Linked DNA regions of Alligator mississippiensis. Each later gene encodes a partner of the first gene's protein in a complex. Links are inferred from orthologs where the notes say so. Each region holds a gene or a part of one and is shown in the gene's direction. Other genes may lie near its edges. The genes, in order: RABGEF1 and RAB21.

Region 1 (7,519 bases):
ACTCCACAGTGAATAGTGCATCTATATATTAGCATAAATGAAGAATGGTGGTCTTGTCCAGAGCCTCAAATTTCCAGGCTTATCACCCTTCCTGAACTATGTTTGATCTAACATAGTTGTTGTACATGAATTCTTATTCTACCAGGGCTATCAGAGCATTACTGGGATGAAGAGAAGTATCCATTTAGCGTTCAAAACTACAGTAGGTAAAATGTGTGTAACATTCAGTTTATACCGGCCAGAGCCTGTGTGAACAAATATGTGTATAAATATAGCATAAAGAAGCCCATGGACCTATTTCTCTTTGTCCCTAGAGGTGTGTTACTCCCCTTGTCCATGGGAAATATCTATGAAAAATATTTAAAATATTTAGCTCTTATTAGTGATTGCTATCAGAGAAGCTTATAACCACTGACTGTTATTTGACCCCAGCAGTCTTTCCTACCCAGACCAGAGCAAGGGGGCTGGACCTGATGATCTCACAAGGTCACTTCCAGCCCTAAACTGTGAATCTTAATTCTTGCAACAGCCTTTTGATCTTAAAGATAGGGCAATTGAATCGAGTAGGTTCAAGGACTTGTCCATGGCCACAACTGGTCATTCTCAGATCACAGGGTGAGCATTGAACAGATCCTGGTTCCCCAACCTACTGCTCAAATCACCAGATGATTCTTGTTTTACTTAAAAAGCTTGTGTGCAACAACATGAGCTGAAATCTTAACCACTGACTTTCTTAAGTAATAATATTGATCCAAGTTTAAAGAACAGTGTTAAAGAAGATACATTGGCAGAAACTGAACATCCTGTCCCATAGTACTTGTTTGATTTGCCAGTGTAATGTGGTGCTTGCTGTAGTCCATATATGTTTCTTTTTCTCAGTCTCAGAAGAGTTGGGTGAATGGCATAAAAAAGGTCTGAATTATTGGCTCTAATTAGGTTAACACTGACACATGAAAATGATTGCAGCTGTTTGACAGGGGAAATGCTTTTATGGCAGTTCTCTCCTGTATTGGGGGAGAAACCAAAAGGGAGGTTATAAAACAACCATAAAACTACCTGGAGAAATATAGCTGCTGTATCTGTGCAATAGATCTTGCTCAAGAAAAAACGTTTGAGACTGAAGAGGTAAAGCTTGAGAGACAAACAGGGAACAACTGTATAACAAAACGGTGGCAATTCCAGTTTTTATTGTGCAATAAGTTGTCTGCGGATCTTGAATGTGGAGAACTCTTGAAGAATGTAAATCTATCATAAGCTTCAGCATTAAGGTCCCTGATGTTTTACAGTTGACACTCTAGCTAATTCATCTTAAATGAATAGAATATGCTGAAGGTGTTCTAACAAATAAAATGTGCAACCCCTTTCTGGCTTCTCAGCAAGTCCCCAAAGAGGAGCTAACCGTGTACTTTGTAATCTAATTGAAATGCTCATCAAGAATCTTTACTGAAATTGGGAATTGATGGAACAGTGAAATAAAGCAGGCAGCATGGGAAGTTGGCCAAGGCAGGTATTTGAAGGGAGGAGGCAGTGCTTCCTGTTCGTTGTGTGCTATTACTCGGTCTGACTGGCCCTTTTGGCAGTTTCAACGCACACTTCGCTAACTTCAGAAGGGTCAGCAACATTTAAAATGATTTCTAAAGACTTGCTGTATTAAACACTAATAACTTTTGGGGGCCAAAACATCCTGACTTGGTGTCCTATGCAAGTCAGAGCACAAACGTGGTGGTACTGTTTACAGTTTTAATCCATTTTTAGGCTTCCTGAGCTAATCTCCCTGATTGTTGTTTCTGTTGAGCACCCTTTCTCCCCCAAGCTGTATGCTTCCATGGAAGCCGTTCAGTGCTTTTAGTGTGCTCTTTTTATTATAATTATAAAACCATTAGGATGTGTTAACTTCATAATTTATGCCCTTATGACATGAGAATTTCCTGCTTTTTTTTTTTCTTGTTTTCCAGCTATAACTTAGCTGCTAAGTTATATAAGGCATAAGGAGATCAAGTGACTAGCCTGAGAATACAAGATGAGGTAATGATCCTGACAACTCTTCCCACCCCTCCAACTTGCTCTTTGATCTTTAAACTCCAGAGGTTACTTGGATGCTGTCTGGGCAGGATGTGTATCACCCTGTAAGACTGCATGCAGGAATTTCACATGTTGGGGAAAAAGGAGGAGTATCCAGTCTGCACATAAAATATCCCTGGAAGTTACAGGCCGATAGCTGTCACTTCCTATAGACACTGACATTCTCATTAGTTGCTAAGATGTCCCTGAGGCAAACAATGCTTTCTTCTTATTTCTTTTACTCATTTCCTCCTCCTTTCACTTGTATTGTTTTCCTGTAGAGCATTATTTAAGGAAAAAAAATCCATTTATAGTTGTTGTTTTAAGTAATGCCGTGTACTCAGCCCATGGTGCCTGTCTGTGCTTTTAGTTTCTGAGGATATCGTTGATGAGTCAAGGAGTCTGAGGACAACATCATATTGGTATGCCTCTCTAGTCACATCTTCAGATCACACTAAGCATGGTGGTCAATCAGGAATTCTTGGCCCCATCCAGCAATAGCGAAAGTGCCATTGGTGAAATTCTCATGCTAAAGCCGATGGTTTGCCGCCGACAGAGACTTTAATTTCTTATGCTCTGGTTTTGTGAGAGGCAAAGAAATGTTAATTTCCACCATACTTTCTTGTGAAGTCTGTCAGTTGGTCTGGTCTCAGTGGCAAAAGGCTTGGCTACTTCAGCTTGTCTTCCCTTGCTTGCTACTGACCGTTCTTTCTGTTGCAAGGCCACATAGGTTCGCCAGGTGGTAAAATTGGAGCGGGCTATTGAATTATATCCACTGACGTAGGGCAATATCTGAGGAGGTAAATAATAGCTCCTCCTCCCAGCCTGTGATTCAGCCATAGTTAATGGCAGAGTTAAGGATGTGTTGGAAGAACTCCAGGCTACATCCCATGCTTTGCATCCCTGCCCTTTGCACGTGGCAAAATGCATGTGTGGGATCGTGAAGCTGATCAGGGAGGGATCAGGGCAGGGATTCAGAGCACAGTCTCTGTGACAGACCTTTCTTTCCCTTCTTTGTTTTAGTAACTCTTGAGAACAATCTTTGGACACTTCTGTCTTAAGACATTGTTGGCAGTACTGAACCTTGCAATTATGCTGACTTGTATAGTTATTTGTGGCTTTAAACCATTTTGAAATGTGCTTTTGGTTGTTTCCCTCTACTTCAGAGCGGATCTGAGGGAGTCTTGTGTTTTTCAGTATGTAAACTATTTAAAATTCAAACAAATGTGCAAGTTTGTTTCTCTTTCTCTGAATAAGCTACGTCTGAGATGAGAACTATGAATCGCAGTTTATTTATGTATATAGGTCTCCAACTGGATGCAAATTTCCAGAACAATGGTCCCCAGTCATTTTACTTGCACAGATTTAGTATGAGTTTATGACTAGTTTCACTGTGACTTTATAAGTGGTTTTTATTTTGCCAAGTTATAAATTGTATAGGTCTCCATCCATTGTTACCCTTCATGTCTTGTGGGGAGAGGGGAACACACAATCCTTGGCCCTAGTGATTGGGTATTGGAATGATTCCAAATTTGTCCAAATTTGTATTATTTTGTATTGTTTTACGATTAAACAAATTGACGATCAATGTTAATTTAACACGATGGATCCTGTAGCATCCTGTGTCTTACTACACATTGCTTTTAAATTCCAGGTAAACTGGGTAATGTATGTATTTTTATTTGAAACATGTGAAAGGTAACATTTTATGTATTAAAGTCTCAGTGCTGTGAAATAAATTATTAAAATGGTCAGTATTGGTTTTGATCATCTGAACAGTATAACTTGGCACCAAAAACTCTGCCAAAACTCAAAGTGCACTTTCAGGAGCATGCGAAGAATTAAAAAAATAATCTAATCTAATCTAAAAATTAATCTAATCTAAAAATTATTGACCGTTGTGGCAGACATCGCTCCGCAAAAACTCAAGCAACATCACATTCACAGCTCTGGGTCACAACTGCAAACCCCTGAAATATTGTGAAAGGGCAATCAGGACTCATAGCAGAGATGCTGTCTTAGAACAAGATTTTTGCCAAAAAAAAATCTTTAATTGCAAGCTTTTGGGCACAAACACCCTTCATCAGGCATTGGAGAAAAGATTGCAAAAGTTCTCCTGGGTAGACATGAAAGTGGGTATCTCATATAGAGGAGTTAATCGATGGAAAATTCCTCTGTGCAGTCGGTTCATAGCTGGTGTGGACCCTCTCGCCCCCTGCCAGCTCCGCGGGGGAGCAGAGCGCTGCTCCCAGCCCACGTGCGCGGCGGGGTGCCAGGGCGCGGCTGGCTCTGGAATGCGGTGACGTCACAGCCCCGCCCCTCCGCTCCCCTCCCCGCCGCCAGCTGTCACCGCGGAGGGGCGTGATCGGAAGTGACGCAGGCGCTGCCGTGTGCGCAGGCGCAGCGGGGGGAGGGGAGCGCGGGGCCGGGCTGAGGGGACCTGTCTGCGCCGCGACGGTCGCGCAGGTGAGTGGGGCCGGGCCCGGGGCATCGGTATCGGTATCCCCATCCCCCGCCTTTCTCCCGCACCGGGGTGAGGTGTCCGCCTCCCTGCTGAGGGGCAGAGCCGGGTCAGTCCTTCACGGTCGCCGTCGGGCCGGCCTGGCAGACCAGACCGCTGCGGCTGCTGCTGCTTAGGAGCCCAGCCTGAGCCGGCTGGTGTCTTGGGGGACTGACCTTTCTCAAATCGCAGGAAATAGGTTGTTTTCTGCCCAAAATTTAGCCTTAACCCCTCCTTCCAAATCCTCCCCCCCCAAAAAAACCTCCCCAAAACAAACCAATCAGGGCTCATGGGTGGAGGTGATCTCTTGTATGAGACCAACAAGATTTTTGCACAGCGAAATTCTTAAATTGCAAGCTTTTGGGGCACAAATGCACACACATATACACACGCGCACACATGCATGTGTGTGTGTGTACGTGTGCACACGTGTGTGTGTGTGTACGTGTGCACATATAATGTTAAGGTTTTTTTTTTACACCCATCCATAGTTTTCAGTATTTGCCTCCCCTCCCCCCCCCCCAGACAAAACAAAACAACCCCCCCCTGGCCCAGACATGGATCCGTTTTGATTAAGATACTTCCTTCTTGGAAAGAGAAGTCCTGGACAAACGCAGTGACCGAGAGCGGTTACAAAAAGCCTCGTCAGTGTCCGTGGATTTTGTTCGCTCTTATTTTTTTCTTTTAATGCCACAAATATTCCCAGCTGTATTTCATGTTCATGTTTTAGACTGAAAAAAACCCAAGTATTTCATGACATCTTCACGACCAGGACTTCGCCTAAGGCTAAATTAAGTTATTAAAAATGGATCGCGCGTCAGGCGTCGGAGAAAAAGATTGTGAAAGTTTCCTTGGGTTAGAAATGAAAGTTCGTACTTAGTAAGATTTCACAGGATTTGCAAAAAGCTTGTGGTCTAATAAAAGATATTGCCTCTATGCATGAGCCCCGATAGCTTTTTCCTCTAGACCAGTACGGCTACAATCGGGATGTGCGACCCCAAAAAGCCACGCACTTAGTGCTGTGAAGTAATATAACCGCAAGTCTGAAAACTGAAGTCCTCTGTTTAAGCACAGAGCAAGTGTACTTTGCTTTTGGGCAGCTGTAGTGCAAGTTGGTACCTGCAGTTGCTGCCTGCCTGCTTCAGATCAGATCCTCCCAGGTTGCACAGCCCAGCCCTTCAAAACCGGTTTGGTGCAACCCTGTGCGCTTGCAGCTTCAGCTGGTTTTCCTAACAAGGTTGCCAGTTGCAGTGGTGGCTTTTGTAGTGCCAGCAGATGCGAGTCCTGGACTGGGAACCTCTGCTGATCTGGGCCAAAACTGAACTATTTTTGAGATAGAAAAGTGAAGTCTCCATCCTCAGTTTCCAAGTGGTTTTTAACGCATGGATTATTCTGACAGGCTTTTGAGAAGTTGCTCATTCAAGGTCAGCATTTCCAAGGGATAAATACAACTTCCTTAAAGGCAAGTTGGCTGCGTAAAACCTTTCAAGCTGATTTTTTTTTTTTTTTCCCTAAGCAAGATGTTTGAATTTTGCAGAGGGTTCACCCAGATTGCAAGACGCTTTTGACCCAGAGGAAGTATGGCAAATGTTGATATACCGAAAGGAGTCTAGATTAAGTTTTAAATCTTTCCAAGGGGAGCTGATGACAGTTGTTAGAAGTTAGAAATTGTTATCATTTTGTAGTATTTAATACATTTGAATGCTTTCAAGCATAGATGAAATGGCATGATTTCAGAGCATTTATACTGCCATATTATGGGGCACTTATTCTCTCATAAATACTTAAGCATTGTTGTTGACCAAGAATGGTATCCAGCCTGATCTTAGAGATCCTTAGTGATCCATTTTACTAACTTAATTTAGGTTTATGCGAAGTCCTGGTCACTAAGATTCTTTGAAATGTTTTTTTAGTCTGAATCATTAACATTAAATATAGCTGGAAACATTTGTGGAATTAAAAGAAAAAAGCTAACAATGTACACATAGGTGAATATGCAATATTTTGGAATGTTCTTGGTTTCTAAGTTTGTAAAGTACTCCTTCTCTTTCCAAGAAGGAAGTATCTTAATTAAAATGGATATATATCTGTTCTGGGGGCTAGGAGAACACTGAAAACTATGGATGGGTGCTTTAAAATGTAATCACAAATTACTGGACTCACAGAAGACTTTTCAAAATCCATATTCAGTGTTAGGAATTATGTAACAGTCTTTCTATCATTTACCATAAAGTCCTTTATTATGCCTGTTCTCCTTGTCATTATTGTATTTCTTATGACCTAAGTAAGTCATCAGTCTGTCATATAAAATCATGCTTGTTAAGTGCCATGAGTATCATGGCAGGTGCACGTAAGCATAATGCTTCAGGATTTGAGTTTTGAATGAAACTCCTTTAAACTACTTTACTTTGTATTCAACTGAGGAACTGATATTTTTATTTTTAGCTTTATACTTAACATCAGGAGTGTAATAATTGAGGTTGCATTTAGCAGTCCTGAAGTTTGTAGATAAGTTATAAACTGTAATGGTGAATTGCTTGAATTTCTCTGAGCACTGCGGTAGTGTGATTCATTTGGTGCAGGTTAAAAGAACTTATTGTATTACAAGGCATGAGACTTGAAGGTAAAGATGCCTTGAAATAGTCAGTTAATCCATTAACTTTATTTTTGATCCTCATGATGGAAATTAGTATTCAGCACTACATATGGTATCTGAGACCTTGACGTGGACAAATTTAAATTGTAGTTCAAATTTGCAGCATCTGTACTGGAAAGTGGGTAGTGCTTTAAGTGTAACTTCAAAATCTTTCTTTAGAACTGGAATAAATAGTGAATTAGGTTTACTAGGAATTGTGAGGCCTGATAGCCAGCCAGTACATTAGAAGTAGACTAAAAATATTATGAGGGGATATAACGTCCTGTGTCAAGTATTGCTAAATCATATGTTGCCGTTGCATT
Region 2 (7,287 bases), on another chromosome or scaffold:
GTTTGAGATGCTGCAACAGGCATGTGCTCACTCTCATGGATGCGGCCCTTGTGTCTACCTTTTTTTCTTTTTCCCTCCACTGCGCCCTGCATTATGGTGTTCGCAAATGTGTCCAGCCTTCTCATCATGTGACCAAACCGCTGCAGCTTCCTTTGTCTCTCAACCTTCAACAATGGTTCATAGGTTCCAATTTTTTGACTGATTTGCTGCTTGACAGACTCATTTGTCCAGTGTTCAATATACAAGACCACCTACATATACAGAAAGAACCAAAAATACTGTTCTTTAGCTCAAGAGGCTTTGTCAGTACCTGGGACCTTGCTTGGTTTGTTTTTATTTGTAGGAGAAACATGCAATATGAGTCAGGCATATTTTGGTTTATATACAACAGATTCCGGTTTCTCTCATCGCAGTAGAAAGAAACAGGAGAAAGCAATTCTAAGTTTGCCCTTCCAGCCAGTCCCATTACCCAAGGAGCTTGGCTTTTCCTCCCTCAATATGCACAACTAATTCTTGGGCTTTCTGCCAACTTTCCACAACTTGCTCTTTGCCTTTCTTCTGTTTACATTCAGCCTCTGAAATGCAGTTGTAACAATAAGTGCTGTCATTGCTGTGTTTTCAATCCATTCTCCATGGAACCTGTCATCCTGAGCAGTTGAGCTGCTAATGTGACCTACTTGCCTTGGTTGGTGATTTCCATCATCTCTAGCTATGTTACTCCAGAAAGTTTAATTGCTTCTCCCATGCAGCCTAAATGCAGTCTGACAGTTAGTTTGCCTGTGAGCTATAAGGAAGTCTGATTTTGCCTATAGATCAAAAATATTTGCTTGATTGTAAATAGTGCTTTCCAACATAATGGTGTGTTTTAAATAACTTGTTGAAATAAAACCAGGAACTTATTAAAGAGATACCTTAAAAGATTTTCTCTGCATTGATTTCTTACCTTTCCTATTTATTTTATATTAGGAAAATTTAAAAAGTGTTTAAAAAGAAACCAGTTTCATGCATGAAAGCAAGTCTCAGTTTCCCAGGAGATTCCAGGCTCAAGGAAATTTGGTCTTTGTCCCCCTTTCCAGCACTTTCTGTTTTTTCCTGGTTCCTAGGGGCTACCGTCACACATTTTCTGACAGAGAAGAAAAGAAATTGCAGCATGATGTCTTGTCATGGACATTATTTTCCTTGCCACCAAATAGTCACTGGAGAAGTTATACTGCTGTACCTGAGTCTGGATAATATAAATTATTTCTTAACTGTGGGGTGCTGTTCAGTTTTACAAAATACTGACCTAATTATTGAGACAAGGTACCTTATCAGGGGAAGAGCCCTTGTGGTAAGGAAATCTGAAGAAACCGTACTACCTTCTGCTGCCTCTTCACTCTGGCTATTAACATTACCTTCCTCTCTCATAGCCCCAATTTAAAGCCCACAGATGTGACTGAATCCTGCAAAGCCTTCAGCACGTGCAGAATTTTATCCACCCAAGTAGCTCCATTGCCCTTAATTTAATATTTGCTGGCTTGGGCAGAAGGCAGGACAGAGTTGCACCTTATAGACTAACTAAATCAGAGATGCATAAGCTTTCACAAGCTGGAACTCACTTCATCAGATGCTGTGAAAGGACATGCACAGAACAGTTTATCACATGGAGTGAGAGTCCAGGTTTAGGGTCATATTTATTGTTTTATATGTCCTGCTTAGACACTTTTGCTCTCTCCCCTGCCATGAGGTCTAGAGGTAACCTTTGCTGCGCATTGGGCGCATCTACACATTTCCCTATGGTGACATAGTGACGTGCTATGTCACTGTATTGCACGCTACAGCGACGTAGCAATTGTGCAGGTCTATACATGATCGCCAGCTATGTCACCGTAGCAGCACGCTGCCCCGGTAGAGTGCATTGCTACAGCAACATAGCAGTGAAATCTGACCGTGCACCGTGCTCATGGTGCAGTAACTGCCTGTACTGCACTCTGCATTAGTACAGGTTTCCCTTGATTTATGTGGTAGATGTGTTCCCAGAGACCAGCACATAAATCAAATTTGCATAAAGTGAACCCAGTTTACAATGAAACTGATAGGGAAGCATTCCCAGGGCCATGAGGGAGGGAGGGAATGAGGCTGGGGCCAGGGAAGGGGTGGGGAGAGGGTCGCGGCACAGCCCAGTGGCTGCAAGTAGGTGGTGTCTGCCATTCCTGGGACTGCAGCAGGGGTAGCACTGGGCTCTTCATTGTGCTAGGGGTGGGCGGCAGCCCCCCTCACCCCATTTCTTCTGCTCACCACAGCCCCTGCTGCAGCAGCCCTGGGAGTGGCTGATGCCAGCTGCCTGCAGTCACTGGGCTGCACCATGCCCTGAGCCACCCACCGCAGTGCAGCCCAGCAGCTACAAGCAGGTGGCATCTGCCCACTCCCAGGGCTGCAGCAGGGGCAGGCAGCTGCCCACTGCTGCTGGACAACAGCAGGCTGGGGCTGGTGTCCGCTTCAGGCTGGGGCTGGCAGCTGCACGAGGCTCTTCCCGGTGCTCAGCAGCGGTGAGTCCTGCAGCAGGACGAGAGCAGGCTAGGGACGGCAGCTACTGCAGGCTCAGGCCGGCGCTTGACAGCAGCACTGGGAAGACAGGTTGTGGGGGGCTACAGTGAATTTTGGGGTGGCAGCAGCCCCCCTCCCATCACCGTGGCCCACCCTGCGTGCCAGGAAGAGCCTGGTGCCACCACCGCCCCCAGCTTGCTCTCATGCCGCTGCTGGCAACTTCCCGACCCTGCTGCAGCCTCTGGGAGCGGCAGAAACTACCTGCTTGCAGCTGCTGGGCTGCCTGCTTGCAGTGCTGCACTGGTGAGGTGCTACCACTGGAACCCCCCTCCCCCACTTCCTTTTCCCACTCCTCTCCCTTCCTCCCCTTTTCCCCGCTGCCTCCCCCTCCCTGCTGGCTGTTGTTGGGGAGAGGCAGCGCGGCAGCTCTCTTGCTCCCTCTGTCCATAACGCTCCAGGCCCTCGCAGCCCATCGGCGCATGCCCTCTTGGCAGCGCATGCGCAGTTGGCCCGGAGCGTTACAGACAGACGGGCTAAGGAGTTTGTTATATTAGAATGCCAGGACTGGGCAAGCTCCTACTTGTGCTGGAAACCGGTATGAAGAATTTCCAGAATTATCATTATTTTTTTCACACATCCCTGTCCCCAAATGTAACCTACACCCTAATTTTGCAGGGCCCCAAGAGAAAGCATCTTACCCTGGAGTATGGGTAAGGGCTCCGCTACACGTTCACATTAAACCTGGATCGAGACCAGCTATAGAGTTACACATTTTCAAGCACTACCTTTGTAGCTGGTTGGCTTTTTCATAGGTGGAGTCATTTGTATGGTGTGATAATTACTTTGCACATGCAGCTGGCCTAAATTTATTGTGGGATTAACCAGTTTATTGCATAATATATGTAACGGTGTAGCTGGAGCTAGTGGCTGAGTGCCAGGAGCTTAGGCTTGGAGGCCACATGCTCGGGCTGGGGGATGCGTGACAGGGCCCATCGCAGCGCAGCCGTGCTGGAGCCAAGCGGCCCAAGAGGGCCCTATCCAACAGGTCGGATAATGTGGCCTGATCCAATGCATGGGCACCAGTGCTGCATGGCTCAATCCGGCAGGCAGGCTACAGCTGCATGCCAGGTGCGACCCTATGCTCTGGCTCGGGTGCCATGTACTGGGTTGAACCTGTGTGCGAGGTTGGGGAAAAGTGTGGAGGGGGGGCTCCACAGGAGTCCAGAAATTTGTGACTGGGAGAGAAGGGAGGGAGCAGCGGTAGCATCAGTGGCTGTGGCTGGCAGAACTGCATCAATTACTACTGTACCTCTCCTCCACGCTCAAATTTCCACACTTGTGGGGAGCCCTTTCTCTCGCATATACTGCATGCCGCCCGCAACTTTTGGGGCTGGCGGTAAAGTGCGCGTATATGCGAGAAAATACGGTACTGAGATTACACCTTTCTAAACGAGGCTGCTGTGGCCGCCCCAGGCTGGGCGGGGCCTACAGCCTTCGCGCAGGCGCAGAGGCACGAGGTAGGGGCAGTGACCCGCCCCCTCTGTTTCTCGTCAGCAGCTTCCCCGCGGCCCGGGCCCCGCCCCCCAGAACGTAGCGGCGGCCCCTCCCATTGGCTGTGGCGGGCCGCGTGACGCAGCGCCGCGTGACGTAGGAGGAAGAAGACGCCATTAGAGGCAGCGGGGGGTTGTAGTGGCGGGAGGGTAGTGTTTCGTGTTCTTGGCGGTGTCTGAGCCCCGCTCCACTTCTCGCCTCTCCCGGCCGAGCTTCCCGGGTCCCCGCCAGGGCAGGCGGCGGCGCCGCTGATGTGAGGCCGCGGCCCGGCGGCGGGCAGAGCTGGTGCGCGGATGGCGGCGGCGGCGCCCGGCGGCCGCAGCTTCTCGTTCAAGGTGGTGCTGCTCGGGGAGGGCTGCGTGGGCAAGACCTCGCTCGTGCTGCGCTACTGCGAGAACAAGTTCAACGACAAGCACATCACCACCCTGCAGGTGCGGCCCGGCGGGGAAGAGGCCCGGGGCAGGGGGCTTCCCGGGCGGGGCCAGCCTCGTGCCCCTGAAGGCAGCGGGAGGTTCGCACGTGTTTCCGTCTGTCCGCACGTGCGCTGTGCTTGGCCTCCCTCCCCCCCCCTTCGGGCGGGACAGGCAGTGCTCCGTGCTCGAGCCACAGGGTGGTGAGGGGGGGGCCTGGGCTGGCTGCGTTGTGGGAGGGGAGGTGGCCCAGTCCCGATCCACCTGTGCAAGGTTTGGCAGCAGGGGAAGGATTGCAGTGTAATTTGCCACTGTTCCCTTGCTGCCCAGTTTCCCAGCCCACAGGGAGCCCAGCAGGCATGATGCCCTGGTACAGGTTGAGCATCCCTGGTCTACAGTACATGCTTTTGTGGGCTGAGGCTTATTTCAGGAAATTTGGGGGGGAGGTTGTATTGCATTTCCCTCTGTTACCTGTCCCACAGTGAGCTTTTGATCTTGCTTACACTTGCATTCTTTGTATTGTATCTAATCTGCTCAAGTCTGTAAAGTGCAAGTCTACCCTGCCTTCTTAAAGAAAAAGTCTTGGCTTCTACCTTGCAGGAAGGCAAACCTTTGTGCAAGCGGCTGAGTTCTGCCCTCAGCTGCTACTGGCATATTTTGTGTCTATTGAGTTAGGAGCATGAGTCTGCTGAACTTGGGTCTAAAAGAGCACATTTGCAGCAGAAGGGTGTAGTGAAGCTTAGTTCTTTCTGCCTGTGGGCAGGGCCCTTTCGGTTTCATGATGAACTCACAAAAAAGTGGTGCACGCTCTTGTGTTCTGGATAACTTTTAGAGGTCTGAGCTACCTCCTCTGTTTGCAGTTTCATAACATCACATGGGAAATTCTAGCACTGCTTATATGATATAACATAAGATGTGAGGGCAGCTTTACTAATGCAAAATATGAGTTGTGAACAGGAATGGGAACCATGTGGTCATCTAGCTCTTGAGGGACTGCAAGAGGTCTGAGTGACCATTGTAGGACTGCTACTGTAGCTTACTTTTATTCTGGTATGGTGTAATGACAACACAGCTATAAGTCAGTCTTGTATTTATTCTCAAGAAGAAAAATCTTCCTGGGTTGGCTACGTACAACTAGATTTTTTTTTTTTTTAAGTCTTCCACTCTTAACTATGTGGGACATATTAAGAACTTTTATGGTTTTATATTGTATGATTGTACAGTACTTCATTAAGGTTTGAGATAAAGTAGATAAAGGAAGTTTCACTTGGGGAAAAAAAAAATTGAGAAACCTCAGTGAATAAAGGCATGCCTTCATAGAGTAGGCCTAGGTTTTTAGTTCAACTTCCCTTATCATTCATGCAGAACTCTTATAATAAAAAAAACAAAAACAAAAAAAACTTAGGCTTAGAGCACCTCTATGCTGTTGGTCAGGTGGGTTGGGTTAGAGCCAAGCCTCCTAGCAAACTTTGGCTGCAACGTATTTTTTCTGAAGTGAAAGGTTGGGCAAAATGGATCAAGTGCTGAAGAGCCTCTAGTTTTTCTTCCACTGTTGACCCTGAATGGTAGAGAAGGCCTGAAACTGCATTAGGAAAGAAGTCTGGTGTCATAGCATGAATTATACCCCAGACAAAAGGCAAGGTTAGGGGGAGGGGCGAGAAGCAATGAGTACATGGAGTGTGGACTAGGTTCAGCTAACCTGGCTTTTTTAACCCAGTGCCCATCACCCAGAATAACTGTACAGCAGAGACCTGTTCAGTCTGGCTTTGTTGCTGAACTACTTCAGTCTCTAGCATTTTGTTAGCTTATGCCCCTTGAAGATTTGGAGTTTGTAGCTCATTCCTTGTTTAAAAAATGTTTCTTCTAAACTTTTGACGGTTATTTAAGACTCTTCATTGACAGCTGTCTATTCTTGTCTTCATTAGACAAGTAACTTGTAGCTTCTAGGGAGAGGTGTCTGCAATGGATGGAGATGAAACTAAACTGTGTCTTGTGAGGCTTAAACACCCCCCCCCCTCCCCCAACCTTCCAAAACAGTCTGCTTCCTGTGAATAACAGAGCCCTGTTGCCCAATATAAAGCCAAACAAGAATGTGAAACTGAAAGCCAAAAATTGCTTGTCATCTGACTTTTTTCACCTGGTATAATCCTTTAACTGGAAGTCTTAAATTGAGGTATTACTTGGAGTTGAAAAGTGAATTTTACAGTACAGAATGACTGGATATGGTATGGAGACTGAGTGCAGTGAAGCCAGCTACAACTCCCCTAAATTGTATTTATAAAGTAAAAGCAGAAAAATAAATGAACCCCCCAAGATACCTTGTTTTGCTTCCTACAAAACATCATTCAGAAATGTTATTCACACGAAGGGCCATGTGTTCTTTCTGTCTGAAGAGACTGGCAATAAATCCTCAGTGTACAGATGTGAAAGATGCTGCTTTAGAACTGTAAACGGTACACTTTTGGATAGCAAAAATTGTGGGAGTAGGCCACAAGAAGTATGCCCCAATCTTCAGTAAATTCTGATACTTGGAAGAAAGAAGAACCAAAAAGAAACTTTTGTGTTTAGCTGTATAAGGTGCTTGCTTTTAAGTCTTTAAGGTGCTATTGAACCTAGTCTATAAACCGTTCACATTTTAAAACTTTTTACAGGAAAGAGAATACATGACAGATGCAGTTAAAGCTGTTTTTACTACCATATAGTCACACAGTGGCATGTGTCTTAAATAGTAATTTGGTGGTGTGCTTGCTTTAAAATGGGCAATGAACACTCACTTTCTTCCAAACCTTATGATCAAGCA

Evidence for each region.
Region 2: the proteins of RABGEF1 (region 1) and RAB21 are in contact, whole or in part, in a crystal structure (PDB 2OT3), measured with the Homo sapiens proteins. The link is inferred for Alligator mississippiensis from reciprocal best matches to the Homo sapiens genes RABGEF1 and RAB21. Residues at the interface, in NP_001273991.1 of Homo sapiens: Leu253, Cys254, Lys296, Phe299, Asn300, Lys303, Pro309, Ala310, Ser311, Ala312, Asp313, Phe315, Leu316, Pro317, Ile320, Leu347, Met348, Thr349, Gly350, Glu351, Gly353, Tyr354, Tyr355, Thr357, Asn358, Cys360, Cys361, Ala364, Phe365, Ser373; in NP_055814.1 of Homo sapiens: Ser19, Phe20, Lys21, Gly26, Glu27, Gly28, Lys32, Thr33, Leu37, Thr50, Thr51, Leu52, Gln53, Ala54, Ser55, Phe56, Ala71, Trp73, Asp74, Thr75, Ala76, Gly77, Gln78, Arg80, Phe81, Leu84, Ile87, Tyr88, Asp91.

Annotation. Positions count from the first base shown.
Region 1 is NC_081837.1:9,923,031-9,930,549, reverse strand, and holds the start of RABGEF1 (rab5 GDP/GTP exchange factor), read left to right. Parts: upstream 1-4,437; 5' UTR 4,438-4,527; intron 4,528-7,519. UniProt on the Homo sapiens protein: Rab effector protein acting as linker between gamma-adaptin, RAB4A or RAB5A. Involved in endocytic membrane fusion and membrane trafficking of recycling endosomes. Stimulates nucleotide exchange on RAB5A. Can act as a ubiquitin ligase.
Region 2 is NC_081827.1:71,723,133-71,730,419, forward strand, and holds the start of RAB21 (ras-related protein Rab-21), read left to right. Parts: upstream 1-4,189; 5' UTR 4,190-4,370; coding exon 4,371-4,508; intron 4,509-7,287. UniProt on the Homo sapiens protein: The small GTPases Rab are key regulators of intracellular membrane trafficking, from the formation of transport vesicles to their fusion with membranes.